Drosophila melanogaster: one gene and its partners. The protein of the gene in region 2 purifies or fractionates together with the protein of the main gene of each other region. This does not show direct contact. Each region holds a gene or a part of one and is shown on either strand. Other genes may lie near its edges.

Region 1 (4,523 bases), on a different chromosome or scaffold from region 2:
CAAATCGCTGAACTGTGAGAGGGAAGATTTGAGGCGCAGCAGGAGGCCGCCGGACGGCAGCTGGTAGGCGTAGCCCAGGCCAGAGGCATCCGCATCCGAGTGGGGCTTGGCCATGGCCGCTGGCAGGAATTACGGGTGTCTAGCTGATGCTCGGTGTCCACCTAGCCGTCGCCTTTTACTGCATCTCCTCTACGCCGTAGAACTCTTTTTTTTTCGCGTTTTTTTTACAGATTATTGACAAGTCTTCCACAATCCGTCCGACGTTTGTGCGACTTTCGTGGAAAATATCGATTTTGGCCAGCACTACTCGCATATGTTTTGACTTGCCAGTGGGGGTGGCTGGGCCATTGGGTGGTGGGCCGACCATCCGTCGAGTTGTTTGCCATTTCACATGCACTGCGCATGCGTACTCTTATCACAACTGAAGGTAAATAAAAGCCAATCTCGCAAAGGGGGGAGGGAATATCAAGCAACCGGATGGATAAATAACTTAGGAATTGGGCTTGATACACATGAATTAAATGAGCTCAATTGGAACATAATGGGTAAGCAATATAATCAATCAATTTACACATCAGTTTGGCTTACATCTATCTATGTTATTTTGTGCGGACCATTAGTCCCAGTATTTTATCTGGCCATCCCAGCCAGCGGTGACCACTTTGCTGGCCTCATGCGGATGCCAGAGGGCACTGATGCAGACGCCGTCGTGCGCCTGCCACTTCTTGTACATCTTCGTCGTCTTCCAGTCCCAAATATAACATTTGCCATCGCCATCGCCCGACACCAGATAGCTCATGTCCGGCGAAAAGTCCAGCTGGCAGGCGTAGCCAGAGACCATGTGACCGGTGAAGGTCTTTTTGCGGTTCATCTTGAAGCGATTGAGGGCGGAGAAGATGACGATCTTGTTGTCTAACGACTGGCAGGCCATCCATTTGCCATTGGGCGCCAATGTGACCGCCGGCATGGAATGCATAGTGGGGTCGGCAATGTACTTCATGTCCACAGGAATGTCCCACTCCCATATGCGCATCGATTTGTCGTCCGAGGTGGTCACAAACCGTCGGTTGTCGTCCACAAAGGTGATGGTGCTCACAGATCCCAAGTGCCGGTCGTATTCCTGTACAATATCACCGCTGCGAGTGTCCCACTGCGAATTGATAGGAAAACAATTGTAACATGAGCATCTACTTTTGTAAATTTTACTTACACAAATGATCTTCTTGTCGGAGGTGCCGGCAACGAACAAATGTTGCTTGCTATTATCCGGATGGAATTTCACACAGAAAGGCATTTTACGCGTTGTGAATCGGGACACTACATCGCCCGTTTCGGCATCCCACAACTTTATGTAGCGATCATACGAGGCAGACAGGAAGTTGGTACCCCTGTTGTTCCACGCAATATCCTTGATGGCCTGCCGGTGACCGGAGAAGGTGCGTATGCAGCGTCGCTCGCCGTAAACCTCCCACAGTTTGACGCGACAGTCCATCGATCCGGAGAGCAGAAGATGAGCGGTCTTGGGGAACCAGCGGATGGAGGAGATGCCCTTGTTGTGGCCCGACCAGGTGTGTATGTGCGCCTTGGGCAGAAAGCATTTGGTCGGTGGTGCATTCGATCGTAGATTCACGCCCAGATCATGAGGAGCATGCAAATAAGAGCGGCCCTGATAGTCGTACGCATCCTTGACTGTGGAGCAAAAAAGGAAAAGATTATTAACGATATATATTCGGTGGCTATTGGATTAAACTCACTGTGCAGCGTCGACTTCTCCTCGAGCGGCTTATCCTCGGGAATGCGTCCGCGCTTATGTCGCTTAGACAGCAGCTCGTCCAGTTCGGCGCGCTCCTGTTCATTTGGCTTTGCCACCGACACCTCGTTTTCGAACTTGCCCCAGGGACCCAGAAAGCCCTCAATGTCCTCGGGATTATCATTTTTCTCCTGCTTGCGCAGTTTCTTTGCCTTGGGCGGCTCAAATACCGTCTTGCCATTGTCATCGTACGCAGACTGCAGGTCACCCACAAAAGACTGGCCGTCCGCCTGATCGTCTACGCTGGGGTCCAATGCGTAGCCGTAGGTGTGAAAGGTGCGTCGCTGGTTCTCAAATTCGAAGGCATTGATGTGGGCCTTCTCTACGTAGCCGGCTAGGGTGTTCCGCGGAGCGCGCTGCTGCATGGTGAGGTCCGGATGCTCCGGACCTTTTACCGGAGCATACATCTCCTCATAGCGCGGATTGTAGGTTACCTCCTTGAGCGTGGGATCCAGAGTTCGGGGCACGGCCGATGCTCCAAGGGGAACCACCGTTGGCGCCGCACAAACAGCAATGGACTTGGATAGCGAGTGTGTCTTGTCCACGGGCAGCAGGTGATCCGGAATGGGAGCGGAGGGCTCTGAATTCGTGGTGGCTGTGGCGGCGTCCGCATGGTCCGATTCTTCATCCGAGGAACTGGCGTATGACTGAAGGCCCAACATTTAGAGGCTGCGGACGAACTCTGTGTACTTGTTAACGAAATGCTGAAGGTAAATCAAGACCAGAGTGTAGAGGAGGAATACGAAAACGTTAATGGATATTTCCATTCGTCTACACGTTTGCGTTTATCATTAGTTGCTTCAGTAAAAGTAACAAAAACATAAATATATATCTATCAAAACTAGGGATGGTGCGTGCCATCTGTTATCGATGTTATCGAATGGCTATGTAACGGTCTCACTAATAGATCCCAAACATGCAAGGTGGTGCAAGTTTAAAGCTTATTTTAAATTTTTTAAGTTGTATGGAAATAGTATTTGATATTTTTTTGCTCATTTTGCTCAAACACCTATTCAGTGCTGATCGATAACAGGTAAGGAAATGTTTGGCCATACGGTCATACTACATCAGGGAGTGAAGTTGCGTTGATACATTTTGGGAACTTAAGACCGCTGAAAATACCGTCTCTGTAAATTAGTCACAATGACTGCAGGCAGGCACTGGAGCTACGACAGCCTCAAACAAATCGCCATTGATGGATGCACCGAGAACGTGGAGCAGTTGAAACTAATTTTTGTCGAAGAGATTGGTTCGCGACGCAGATCGGATTGCATACGAACCATCGAGGATTTAATTGACTGCCTGGAACGAGCGGACGAACTATCGGAGTACAATGTGGAGCCACTGCGCCGGATATCAGGCAATATGCCACAGCTCATCGAGGCTCTGAGCGCCTACACAAAGCCGGAAAACATTCTTGGACATCCGGTTAATCTGTACCAGGAACTCCGATTGGCCGAGGAACTTCGTCAGCAGCTCCGTATTGCTCCAGCTTCCCAGAATGCTCAGCCATCAGTTTCGGAATTAGCTGCCGCTGTGCCTCCAACAGCAATCCAAAACTATGCCACCCCAGCTGCTTTTACGGATCACAAACGAACGATGGTCTTTAAGAAAATATCCGAGGAACTGGGTCGCTATTGGCGACGACTGGGCCGATCGGCGGGCATTGGCGAGGGCCAAATGGACACAATCGAGGAGCGCTACCCGCACGACTTGAAGTCCCAGATTCTGCGACTGCTGCAGCTCATCGAAGAGGATGATTGCCACGATCCCAAGCACTTTCTGCTTCGTCTGTGTCGCGCCCTGGGCGATTGTGGTCGCAATGATCTGCGCAAGAGGGTGGAGCAGATAATGTCGCACTAGAACGCATTCACTTATATGCACTTTATATGCATTTTGTTACGATACTAGTAATTAATGTGCTGGAGAGCGACAAAGATGTGCCTTTATTGTAATTATTCACATGTTATTCCAAGGTTGGACAGAGCATAAAAATCGCACACTAAATTAATATGTGTCAACGCGGAATTGTACGATCTTATAAGAAAATGTGATTGACGTATTCCATTCAAAATGGGAATTCACATTTCCTTATCATAAGATAGTCTACAAAAAATATTGTTAACTCGTAATACACAAGTCACATAGTTGAAGATAGCAATGTACAATGGATATAAAATACGTTTTGCAAACGCTTTTGCTTCTCTTATCCTCAAAAGACGGTTGAAAATTTGTTTACAAATAGGGTCACACCTTTTGCATTGAACTATCGAATTGGCAATTATCGATAGGCACAGCTGGCTGAATATCGTTTGCTTCGGGGTGAATGGTTAGCAACACGTGCGCGCAATATTTTATTTGAGAATTCTGTTTTTAACCATTAAACTCTATTAAAAAGCATACATAGTTAGCAATATGTCTATTCGGGAGAAGCTGCTGATGAAGAAGATCGTTAAGCGGGAGAAGATGAAGAAGGAGCTCTCGCAGAAGAAGGGAAACAAGAACGCCCAAAAGCAGGAGCCACCCAAACAAAATGGCAATAAACCCAGTAAAAAACCGGAGAAACTCAGTAAAAAGCATGTGGCCAAGGATGAGGGTACGATTAAAAACGTGTGTGCCTAATAAATATATGTAAGATTCACTTTTCGACCCGCAGATGACGACTTAGAGGAGGATTTCCAGGAGGCGCCGCTGCCCAAGAAGAAGCAACAAA
Region 2 (5,139 bases):
GAAAAGGTCAGCTGCGAGGGCTATATAATATGGGATTACTGCTGCTTGGGCGTATGGAATAGGGTGCCTTCGATGATATGATTGTTGTTTACCATCCACGACGCGGGCACGCTCAACTTACATAATATCAGATCGGTTGGGATCGCTGTGGATCGTTTGTTGTGGTTCGGCGGAGTGGAGGAGGTGGTGCTAGAATCCCAGAGCTCCTCGGAACACCTCGCGGCCGCTAGAAGCCGTTGAATCCGTGGAATTCGCCGCGAGGACAGCGCATTCTCTCCGGGATGCGGCGGATGGCGGTGTGGACCGTTGCCGTTCGAGTTTCGACGTTGGGCTGCTCACTTATTTGCGAATAAATCGAATAAAATTGCAATTAAACTAATGCAACTAAAGTCAACTCAATGTCACACAGTGTGACCAGCGTGCGTGCGGACGATAAAGCTGCTCTAAAAATACCGGCGAAATACTGTTTTTCATTTATATTTTGCGTAGTGAACAAATTTGCAAGTTTAAGAAAACATAATTTGGAATAATATATGTAGGCAGGGTGACAGTCAATTACTGTTACATTTAATCAAGTACCTTAGGATTGGTTATTTCTTAAATACATTATTTGCATTCCTATTAATTTAACGGAATTCAACGGAGTGGTATAACACTACAAAAAAGGTCCGCTAGAAAGCTTATTGGCAAAAGAGGGTCACTTTATTCTTTGATTATAGGCGCCAAAAAGATGGTCATCATATTTTAAAAGTTTCTATCATACTATTGCTTATTTTGTATTATATTCTAGATCCGGAAGCCAGTATCCTTGCTCCCTCGGCTTATACCTTCTCCCGCATGGATGCGCACGTGAAGAGCAATCAAACCATCGCCGTATGTGGTCACACCACTGATCTTTCACTGACCAATCTGTGATTCTGGATCGGATGTGTGCTGATTGAGGTTCCTCCAAGCGCACTTATGCCAAATAACCCGTAATTACACATTCATGTTTATGTCAAGATCCTGTGATTATTATTGAAATTCTCGCCAAGTTGTTGGAGTAGTTAAAAAAAACGTTTGTTTGGTTGGTGAATGGTGAATAGTGTTTGCAATGATGATGATGACGATACAACGATGATTGGTAATCCTCACGCTAAAGCTTTTGTCTAATCGCGCTTGCTGCGCTTGCGATCCGAATGGCTGCTGCGCTCGTTGTTCTTCTCCTCGGCACGCTTGGGCGCCTTTTTGGCCATGTTCAAGAACTGATCGAGACCGAAGGGATCCTCCTCCTTCTCGAACTCAACGGGTCCACTCCTCTGGCCAGCGGCCGCCTCCTTGGAGGCACCGGAGAACTGCTTGTCTGGCACGAAACGCTTGGTATTTACAATGGCATCCAGATCACCGCCGTAGTTATCGCTATCCGCCTGCTTGCTGGGTCGGTAGATGTGAGCGCCCAGTGTATTGGAATCGCGCCACGGCTTGTCGTACACATTGTACGCTTCGTCATCACCGTAACCGGAGTCCATGCCCTTGGTGGTGTTGAATAGACGCTGATCGAAGAGCGTTTCACCGTTGCCGGCACTCTTGGCGGGCAGACCCAAAGCGATTTGCTCAGAAATGTCACGCTCCCTCTCCTTCTGCAGTTTCGATCGCTTTTCGGGAGCCGCCCGCTGCAGGTTTCTATCCCGCTGGCGCTCCCTTTGCCGCTCTGCCCGCAAGTCGTTGCGTTCACGCACCTCGGATCCTGTAGCTCCGGAACCAGATGGCTCGGCTGCCTCCGGATTGCGTAGTCCCGCTCGCTCTTCGCGAGCCCGCTGCGCCATCATACGCAGCATATCCTCCTTCTTCTCCTTCTCCTTTTGGGCCAGCTTCTTTTCCAGCTGGGAGCGTGCCTCCACCGCCTCGCGCGCCTTGCGATCGGCTATGTACAGCGCCTCGGCCATCTTGGCGAACTTCTCGTTGATGTGCACCTGCTGCAGACCGCGTCCATCGGCTGCCAGACGCTTGTCCAGTGGAATGGTGTAACCTGATATCGAGGCAAAGATTTAATTAGGATAATGAAGAGGATTCTAGTTTTACATTAGCTCGCACCTTTGGCGTTCTTCCAGTTCGATATGCAGGGCGGGATCTTCCACTCCTTTTGCTCCTTGACCGTCACCTTGCGCGATGGTGAGTGGAGGACAGGTGCCGGCGGCGATGGTGGACCTCGTGGAATCTTTTTGTTAATGCGGAACTTGGGCGGCTCCATCGGATCGAGCTGCGCCTCCACCATCCGGATGACACGCTGCTTGGCGCCCGAATTGAAGGTATCGCCCTGCTGCGAGGGCGTGTACCGAATGTACTGGGCGGGACCCGCCTTCTGGGCATGGCGCACGGGCAGCGCTGAGGTGATCTTCTGGTTGGTCAGCTTCTCCAGCGCCAGGCGCGTCTCCTCCGTCGTCTCCATCACCGTTTCCTCGTCCGGGCGCTGTAGTTCATCCGCATCTTCGGCCAACACCTCCGCCGGCAGCAGTTGCGAAATGGACGAGTACACAATCTTGTCCTTGCCATGTCCTTGGCGTGCTATGGCATCGTATTTAACCTTTCCCTTGTCGTCCAGGCGAACGGCCAGAGCATCCGACTTCTTGCCAACATTTCCTGGTGCTCCCAGACCTGTCGAGAAGATGAAGAAGACGCAGAAATTGTTTCAATTGAATAAGCCACGCTTCAAAATGCTGATCATAAAATACAAAAATACAACATTCTACAGCAAACGTTTAACTTAATGTGGTGGAAATTGAAGCCTTCTCGCTGTACAATCACCCACATATAAGAAGCTAATGGTTATTTCCCTTACGAGGACACCATTACCAACGAAAAACCGCGACAACATTGTTTGCAAGCACAGAGAAAGTGGGATTAGCACGAACGGGAACCCACCTAGTGGATATTGCGCCACATGGATCTCCGGGAAGGCGCCGCCATCGCCAAAGTCCGCATCCGTATGTGGTACCCAATCCTTACGCTGTCCGTACGGCGGAGCAGCGATTTTGGCGGAGACCAGGGCTCCGATCTTTGGTGCTCCGCGGGCGACCAGGCGACGCTCGTCCTCCCGATCCCAGATCGCGTTCGTCGGCGTGGGCAGCAGGCTTGATAGCGACATAGCTTATCTGTTATTTGTGGCGAATCAATTCTTATGTGAAATCACTTTTCAATATGCAAGCCACAAAAACTATAATGGAAAAGTCGAAAAAAAAAACACGCACGCACACGGACACACACAAGCGTACGGGTGTGTAGGGTTGCCAGACTGCTAATAAGAAAATGCTATAGAGTATGGTCCCTTTTAGGGATGGATTGCATATATTGCGTTTTTCTTAAGACGTAAGAAAACCAAATTGGTAGAAATAACAAAGCGATAGCTTTTTCCAAATTTGAACGCGAATCGGTAGTGGATTGGTAATGGTCATCAAACATCATCAAAATTTGCAAAAAATGGTCAAAAAATTGAATTTGCATTTTTGAACACAGTTTGATTTGAAATTTTATTACGAGCTTAACGAGGTATGACATTCCATATTTGGACCATTATTTCGAATGTTCTTATCAAAATACTACAATATGGTTTATAAAAATCAGGGGCAATCAGAGAAAATTTGAATAATTTATTTTTATTACCTTAACAGAACTGTGCAATACTTAAAAATATAATTTATAGACATCCCCCTAATAATTAGATAGATATAAGTGACACTTGCCCGATCGATACTATCGCATCGCCCTAGCCGCTGGCAGTGCCATCGCTAGCAGTTCAGTCAACAATTTAAGTTTTTGTTTTTGTTGGCCAAAAACACAATACAATGTACACATTGATGCACGGCTTCTACAAATACATGACTCAGAAGGACGACTACTGCGTGGTAATCCTGGGCCTGGACAATGCTGGCAAAACGGTAGGCAGCTGAATCATCCAATGAAAGCCTCATGTCCAATCGGAAACTAACACCTGTGCCCACGTAGACTTACCTGGAGGCCGCCAAGACCACGTTTACGCGTAACTATAAGGGCCTCAATCCGAGCAAGATCACGACGACGGTGGGCCTCAACATCGGCACCATCGACGTGCAGGGCGTACGCCTCAACTTCTGGGATCTTGGTGGCCAGCAGGAGCTGCAATCTCTCTGGGATAAGTACTACCAGGAGTCGCATGGCGTCATCTACGTGATTGATTCCAACGACAGGGAGCGCATGGAAGAGTCCAAAGCGATATTTGGTAAGCGAAAACAGTCTTCGAACTAATCCCTTGAACAAAACTCGTTTTGATCTATTCTGATGATCTCTGGTAAAAGGAAAAAGGTTCACCTAAAATGTGTTATTCTCTTTCCCCACAGACAAGATGATCAAGAACGAACTGCTGTCCGGAGTGCCTTTGCTAATCCTGGCCAACAAACAGGATCTGCCGGATGTGATGGGCGTGCGGGAGATCAAGCCAGTTTTCCAGCAGGCGGGTGCTTTAATCGGGCGGCGAGATTGCCTCACCATTCCCGTATCCGCGCTGCACGGCGAGGGCGTGGACGAGGGCATTAAGTGGCTGGTGGAGGCCATCAAACGACATGCGGTGGTGCGGCCGCCGCGGGAAAACGATTAGAAGATCAAGCAGAAGACATCTGGGCCTGGTAGTCGGCCCTCCACTGGCTTTAATTAGACATGTACTTTTGTAAGTTAGGGGCTTAGGATAACGCTTATTTGTAATTAGCCAGACGAGATTGCGAGATACCAATTGTAAAGATGCGTTGTCATTATTTGCAAAGACCTTTCTTTTCGGTTAACTACTGCTGAGAAAATGAGGAAAACAATGTTAGAAAGCTGTGAGACTTCTGCATAGGACAACGAATTACAAATACTATTGTTAGAATAACAAAGAACGCAATGCTTATTAGCCAATTAAGTGCAAGAACTATAAATTCAGAAGTACTTGAAGATGTATTTGAAGAAGTACTTTGTTCTGTTAATAACCCAGATACATGGGTATTTGGATGCCAAAAATGTAATAAAACTGAATCCATTCGCAGCTGTTATGGTTAATCGTTAGCCACAAAGTGTGTGGGCGATTCGAGGTCCACCAAAATCGGGAGAGTCGCTTCTTTATCTAACAGCACTGCACTCGTAGTACACCTC
Region 3 (4,932 bases), on a different chromosome or scaffold from region 2:
TCGAACTGACGCGACAATAGATTGCCCAGCCAGCGTTCCAGTAGCGGAGTGATGCCGCGCATAAAGAACAGCCAGACTCGCCATCCAGGTGCCCAAAAGCCACATCCGGGTCCCTTGCCCACGGGCCCCGTGTTGAAGCGATAGTATATCAAATGTTTCAGATCCTTACACATTCGAATCTGCCTCATCAGCTTGTATTTATAGCGATACATGCCAGTCAGCTGGCCAACATGGGCGAATATGTACTGCAGTCCGTCAGCCAACTGAAAGGCGTCCACATTGTTTAGCCGATACTGAACATGAGAGTCAATGATTAGCTTGGTCAGACGCAGGATCTCACGGCACAAATGGAAAGCTAATAGGAATGAAAGGAATTGATAAAAGGGAAATTTTTAGAAATTTAACTGCTTACCATTTCCGAATCGCGACTTCTTACGCTCCTTGGTGGTCAGAGTTTTAACGGGCTTCAAGTTGAAATTGTAATCTAAATGCAAGTAGTTAAGATTTTTTCGGTGAATCAATAGATTCAACATGTTATATCCCTGACGACAAACTTGCAGTCCAGCCTCAACCCAATCCAGAGTTGTGGTCTGGAAGAATTTTGTGGCCTTAAACGAACGGAAGAGGTAGCTGCAAAGTAAGGATACAATTCAAAACGTTTCTATAGTTTGATTTAAATAAAACTCACCGTTTCTTTTGTGGCTTTGGTTTGCGGTGTTTTAGGGCATTGAGCACATAGTATTTGAGCAGTTTCTGGTAGCTAACGCGCACCTTAACCGGATGGCCAGGTGGACAATGCTCCTTGTACCAGCACTTGACCAGCGGCACATCGATGGCACGACGGGAGCGACCAGAGCGCATGTTAAAGGGGCGGGGTGCCCACAGCAAGGCGATTCCGTTTGCAGTGTTGTCAGTGTACAGGGGAGTGTCCTGCAGGAACGGCTGCACGTCGTCCGGAAGAGTAAAGTCCTCGTCGTCATCAGGTAGGGGCTCCTGAATCTTCGAGTTTGCATTGCGATGGGATATGGGATTGATGAGCGGATCAAAGTAAAATGCAGGCAGATCGGGATCTTCGGTCTTGATGTAGACCACGTTGGGAGTGTGATACCTGAAATAGACAAAGTACATCATGTGGTCATGTGGATCCTCTAAGCTACAAATGAGTTTATATGTATGCAACTATCAGCAGTCACGATTAATTCTTAACAATCGCCACGAACATATTCATTGCAGCTCCCGTTTTATCGCAAATTTGGCAGTAACCTGGGAGCTCGTCGTTTTTCTAACGCGGCATGAAGCATTTCCAGAGAGGCTGATCACTTGGAAACGTTTCTAACCACGTAAATAAGATTTTAGAATGGTAATTTTTGAAGAATGTGGACTCTTACCAGCTCAAATGCACAAAGTGTGGCATATTGTTGTACAAGTAAGGAAAGGCAATGCGGTATTCCGTGCGAATTGGCTGCCGGATAATGACTTTGTTAATGTCATTGAACTCGTTCCAATCCTCGTCCCTAAAATTAAATAAAAGCAGGAATTACATTTTAACAAGTATTTAGGGTATGCATTGTCTTACCCAACATTGTGGTCCTTAATGAGGGGTTCAAACTTAGGTCCTCCTGGAATGGCCATATTAAGAGCCTTGGCGGTGAAGAAACTTTTTGGGTCAAACAAATAAAAGAAGTTATTGTCGACTAGATCGGTGAGCAATTGATTGGCCAATCGATACAGCGTGGCTAGCTGAGGCAGGGAAAGATTCCACTTTCGGTAGGTAGTGCCGTTCACAAACCTTAGATGGTAATAAATGAATCAAAACAAGATCAGATATAAATGACAAATCAAAACTCACTGTGTATCCACTAGAGGACGATGGTCATAAAACCATTTGTATACAGCATTGTCTTCGTCATTGTCCAGCTCAATTTGAATGGCCTCCAAGGGCTCCACGTCCAGCACGTTGTCGGCATAGTCTAGAGGCGGCTCTTCATCGTCAAATGGCGGGAATCTCATGCGCTTAAAGTGGCGACGATCGCGTTTCTCACGCCGCATCATGATCCACATTGTACTGCGGAAGTGTTTAACGTCAGTTGTGTCCACGAGGACAAGTTAAAGTCAACTTACCCCCATTGTGCTATGTAGACGGGCTCAATAACCCAGGGAATCTCATTGACAAAGGTAATGGCTCCAGTGATGTGGTACAGCACCTGGACATCCCGGATCTGCTCCCATGGCATTGGCATGTTCTCTAGCAGCTTGAGCACAGCATGTGGCATGTACTTCAGGGCGCCGAGATATACTCGCTTGTCATGACGATACTTGCGCGACGTCATATCTCCGTGATCGCGAATGATCTTCCTGATGTGCTCCGGCGGCATATCCTCCTTCTGGGTATCCACGAAGCCAAACTTGCGCTTCTCAGCGAATCGCTTGGACTGCAGATGCTGCCATTTAAGCGCCTTCTCCTGCAGCTTCTCCTCGGTGAGTATGTCCGGCTTGGGCGTGGGAATCTGGCCCAATCCGGGTCCCTGACCTCCCACCGGGATGGGTATACCGTTGGTATGGCCACCGGCCGGCGGCAGCGGAGCCCCCGGTGGCGGAATCTGCTGAATTTGGTTGGCCATCTGCTGCTGGGCGTGCAGTTGAGCCTGCTGAGCATGGGCAGCCGCGTAGGCCTGCTGGGCCATCAGCTGGGCTGCCCACGCATTTTGTGGTATCATGTACGGCGGAATGGACATCGTTCCGCGGCACTTATCCTAATCAATAAACGACGAAAAACATACACTTTACGACACACAGACACGTTTTGTTTCAGGGGGAGAAATCGAAATGCCGCCGCCGACGTCGCGGTCTTTTGCAATTTTCACCACGCTGTGAAAAAGCGTAAATTTCGCTTTTCCCCCAGCTAATCTTGGTTTGAATATCTTACCTGGCAGTTAATTTGCAACTGTACTGCCTATTTGGCACTTTTTCTGCCTTTCTTTGGCCGCAATTCACAATTTTTCCGGTTCGCAAAACGAGAGGTTTACTTTTTCATGCGGCAGCCATTTATAGAATAGTAGAACGGTCACATCACTCAATCGATAAGACATCTATCGTCTATCGAGAGATTAGGTGAATTGCTAAACAGTCTAGTGGTAAAAAGCAGTCAAGATAACCACACAAAGTGCGAGCAAATTTGAAAATTTAAATAACGGTGTTATTGGGGAATATATTACAAATTCACCAAAACTGCGACGACTAAAACTAATTAGCCTTATTCACTTAAATTACTTTGTATTGTAGTAGTAAAAAATATCGAGACATTAGCATTTTTAATTAAGGCTAAATCCTTGTAATTAAATCAATGAATCAGCTCGTCAACAAATGTGTTAATATTAATAATTAGGAACTTAATTAGTGTAGTGCGTCAATATTATTGTTGATGACTGGTAAAAATAAGAACACACAGTCGACTTTAGCTAACAACAAACCGAATAAATAAAACACTAAATAACTTTTTCTTTGGCCATTAACTAATGCTCACTGTAGCTTAGAAATTCAAATAACCGAATTGGAAGATCCCATCGAGTCATCTGTGATAATGAAACACCTCATTTCGCATCGGGTAACGACATCCCCAGACTCCCGAATGTTTGTCCAATCAATGATCATGTGCAAAATCGATCCCCGGGACGTTTTGGGCCACTATAAATATTGTCGGCAGGTCGCTGGGGATCACAGTTTACGGACAACAACGCTTCTGGCCAGAACACGATCGGGAAAAGTTGCTAATTTGAGAGAAAAACATAAAATCTAGAGTGCATCCCCGTTAAATTTCGCAAATAAAAGCAACAATGGCAAAGGTATTACACACAAACAAAAAGTGTTTCTATCATAATGAGTAAATGTTGTGAACATTTTCAGTTATTTTCCATCCTTTTGTGCCTGGCTATTATCGGATTCATCAGCGCAGCTCCTATAGAGGTAGGTCATATCTTTAGTTTTTCCATTTCAAAACCAACCAACAAAATCCATTCGCTTGGCAGGACAAGAAACCCGCTGAGGAGGCTGATCTCTCCACCGCGGACTCCATTGGCTACGGCTACTATGCAGCTCCATCGCCAATTTACTACGGCGGCTATGGAGGTGGCTACAAGTACGGCGGATATTCCGGTTACGGCGGCTACGGCGGATATCGCTCCTACGGAGGCGGATTCTATCGTCCCCGAATTTACCCAGTTTGGGGATAATACTATGATGCCAGACCGAAAAACGTTCCTTAAGCAAGAAGTTTCAGACATATGGACATACGTTCCTTAATCCACAAAATCCTATGTAATCGCACTAGTGACCAAAGAAGTTATACAAGCAAGCCCCCCAGTTTTGAAATTTTAACCCTTTCACTGTCTTGCAACGACGAGTTGATGACGTCAGCGGCAGTTTTTGACCCCAGAGCACAATTAACACCGGCTTTATTGCAATAAAAACAAAACAAAAACAAAAAACACTTTACGTACGACTACGCTCGCATGTGTGGTTTATTATTTTCAAATTTCAATTGTCCAAAACCGGATTTCTTTTTTGTTTTTTGAACTTCCAAAGAAATTGAGGCGGCTAACGTAACATACATAAGCCGGCCAGCAAAATTCCGAGTTGGCCAAGTCGAGTAATTACACACATCTGAACCTTTAGTTGGACCTATCTTTAACGATCCACATGGCCAAATTTCAGGCCATAAACGGGGTCACAAGAAAGCTGGTCTATACAATGGATATCAGCCAGAAGTTTATATAGTATATAACTCTTTGTAAAATTTCAAAAGAAAACCATACTATAGAAGTTAGTTATTGCGGCCATAAACTATTTAAAACTCATAATTCTCTGAAATACTACCTGTTTTTCAACTTAAAATCCAAGTTAAATGCATTTCCTACATCAAGTGTTCCAAATTAT

The links. The genes of interacting proteins can lie anywhere in the genome.
Region 1: the proteins of Bx42 (region 2) and CG6015 purify together in Drosophila melanogaster (affinity purification with mass spectrometry, with the first as the bait; one large-scale study listed by BioGRID). This does not show direct contact.
Region 3: the proteins of Bx42 (region 2) and Prp8 purify together in Drosophila melanogaster (affinity purification with mass spectrometry, with the first as the bait; one large-scale study listed by BioGRID). This does not show direct contact.

The regions. Positions count from the first base shown.
Region 1 is NT_033777.3:22,031,610-22,036,132, forward strand, and holds CG6015 (uncharacterized protein), read right to left. Parts: upstream 2,678-4,523; 5' UTR 2,578-2,677; coding exon of another isoform or gene 2,473-2,577; coding exon 1,755-2,472; intron 1,690-1,754; coding exon 1,211-1,689; intron 1,151-1,210; coding exon 617-1,150; 3' UTR 541-616; downstream 1-540. Other genes in the region: CG13409 (uncharacterized protein), read right to left, coding at 1-114; CG45099 (uncharacterized protein), read right to left, coding at 2,473-2,577; Fadd (Fas-associated death domain), read left to right, coding at 2,954-3,673; pit (pitchoune), read left to right, coding at 4,226-4,406, 4,467-4,523.
Region 2 is NC_004354.4:9,103,324-9,108,462, forward strand, and holds Bx42 (Bx42), read right to left. Parts: upstream 3,282-5,139; 5' UTR 3,125-3,281; coding exon 2,902-3,124; intron 2,635-2,901; coding exon 2,074-2,634; intron 2,009-2,073; coding exon 1,149-2,008; 3' UTR 547-1,148; downstream 1-546. Other genes in the region: Arfrp1 (ADP-ribosylation factor related protein 1), read left to right, coding at 3,822-3,914, 3,982-4,234, 4,353-4,609. UniProt on the Drosophila melanogaster protein: May play a role in chromatin structure and function.
Region 3 is NT_033778.4:12,159,959-12,164,890, forward strand, and holds the start of Prp8 (pre-mRNA processing factor 8), read right to left. Parts: upstream 3,041-4,932; 5' UTR 2,927-3,040; intron 2,754-2,926; 5' UTR 2,736-2,753; coding exon 2,122-2,735; intron 2,066-2,121; coding exon 1,850-2,065; intron 1,790-1,849; coding exon 1,577-1,789; intron 1,515-1,576; coding exon 1,389-1,514; intron 1,346-1,388; exon of another isoform or gene 1,168-1,345; intron 1,109-1,167; coding exon 689-1,108; intron 631-688; coding exon 413-630; intron 356-412; coding exon 1-355. Other genes in the region: CG13177 (uncharacterized protein), read left to right, coding at 3,834-3,842, 3,904-3,963, 4,026-4,229.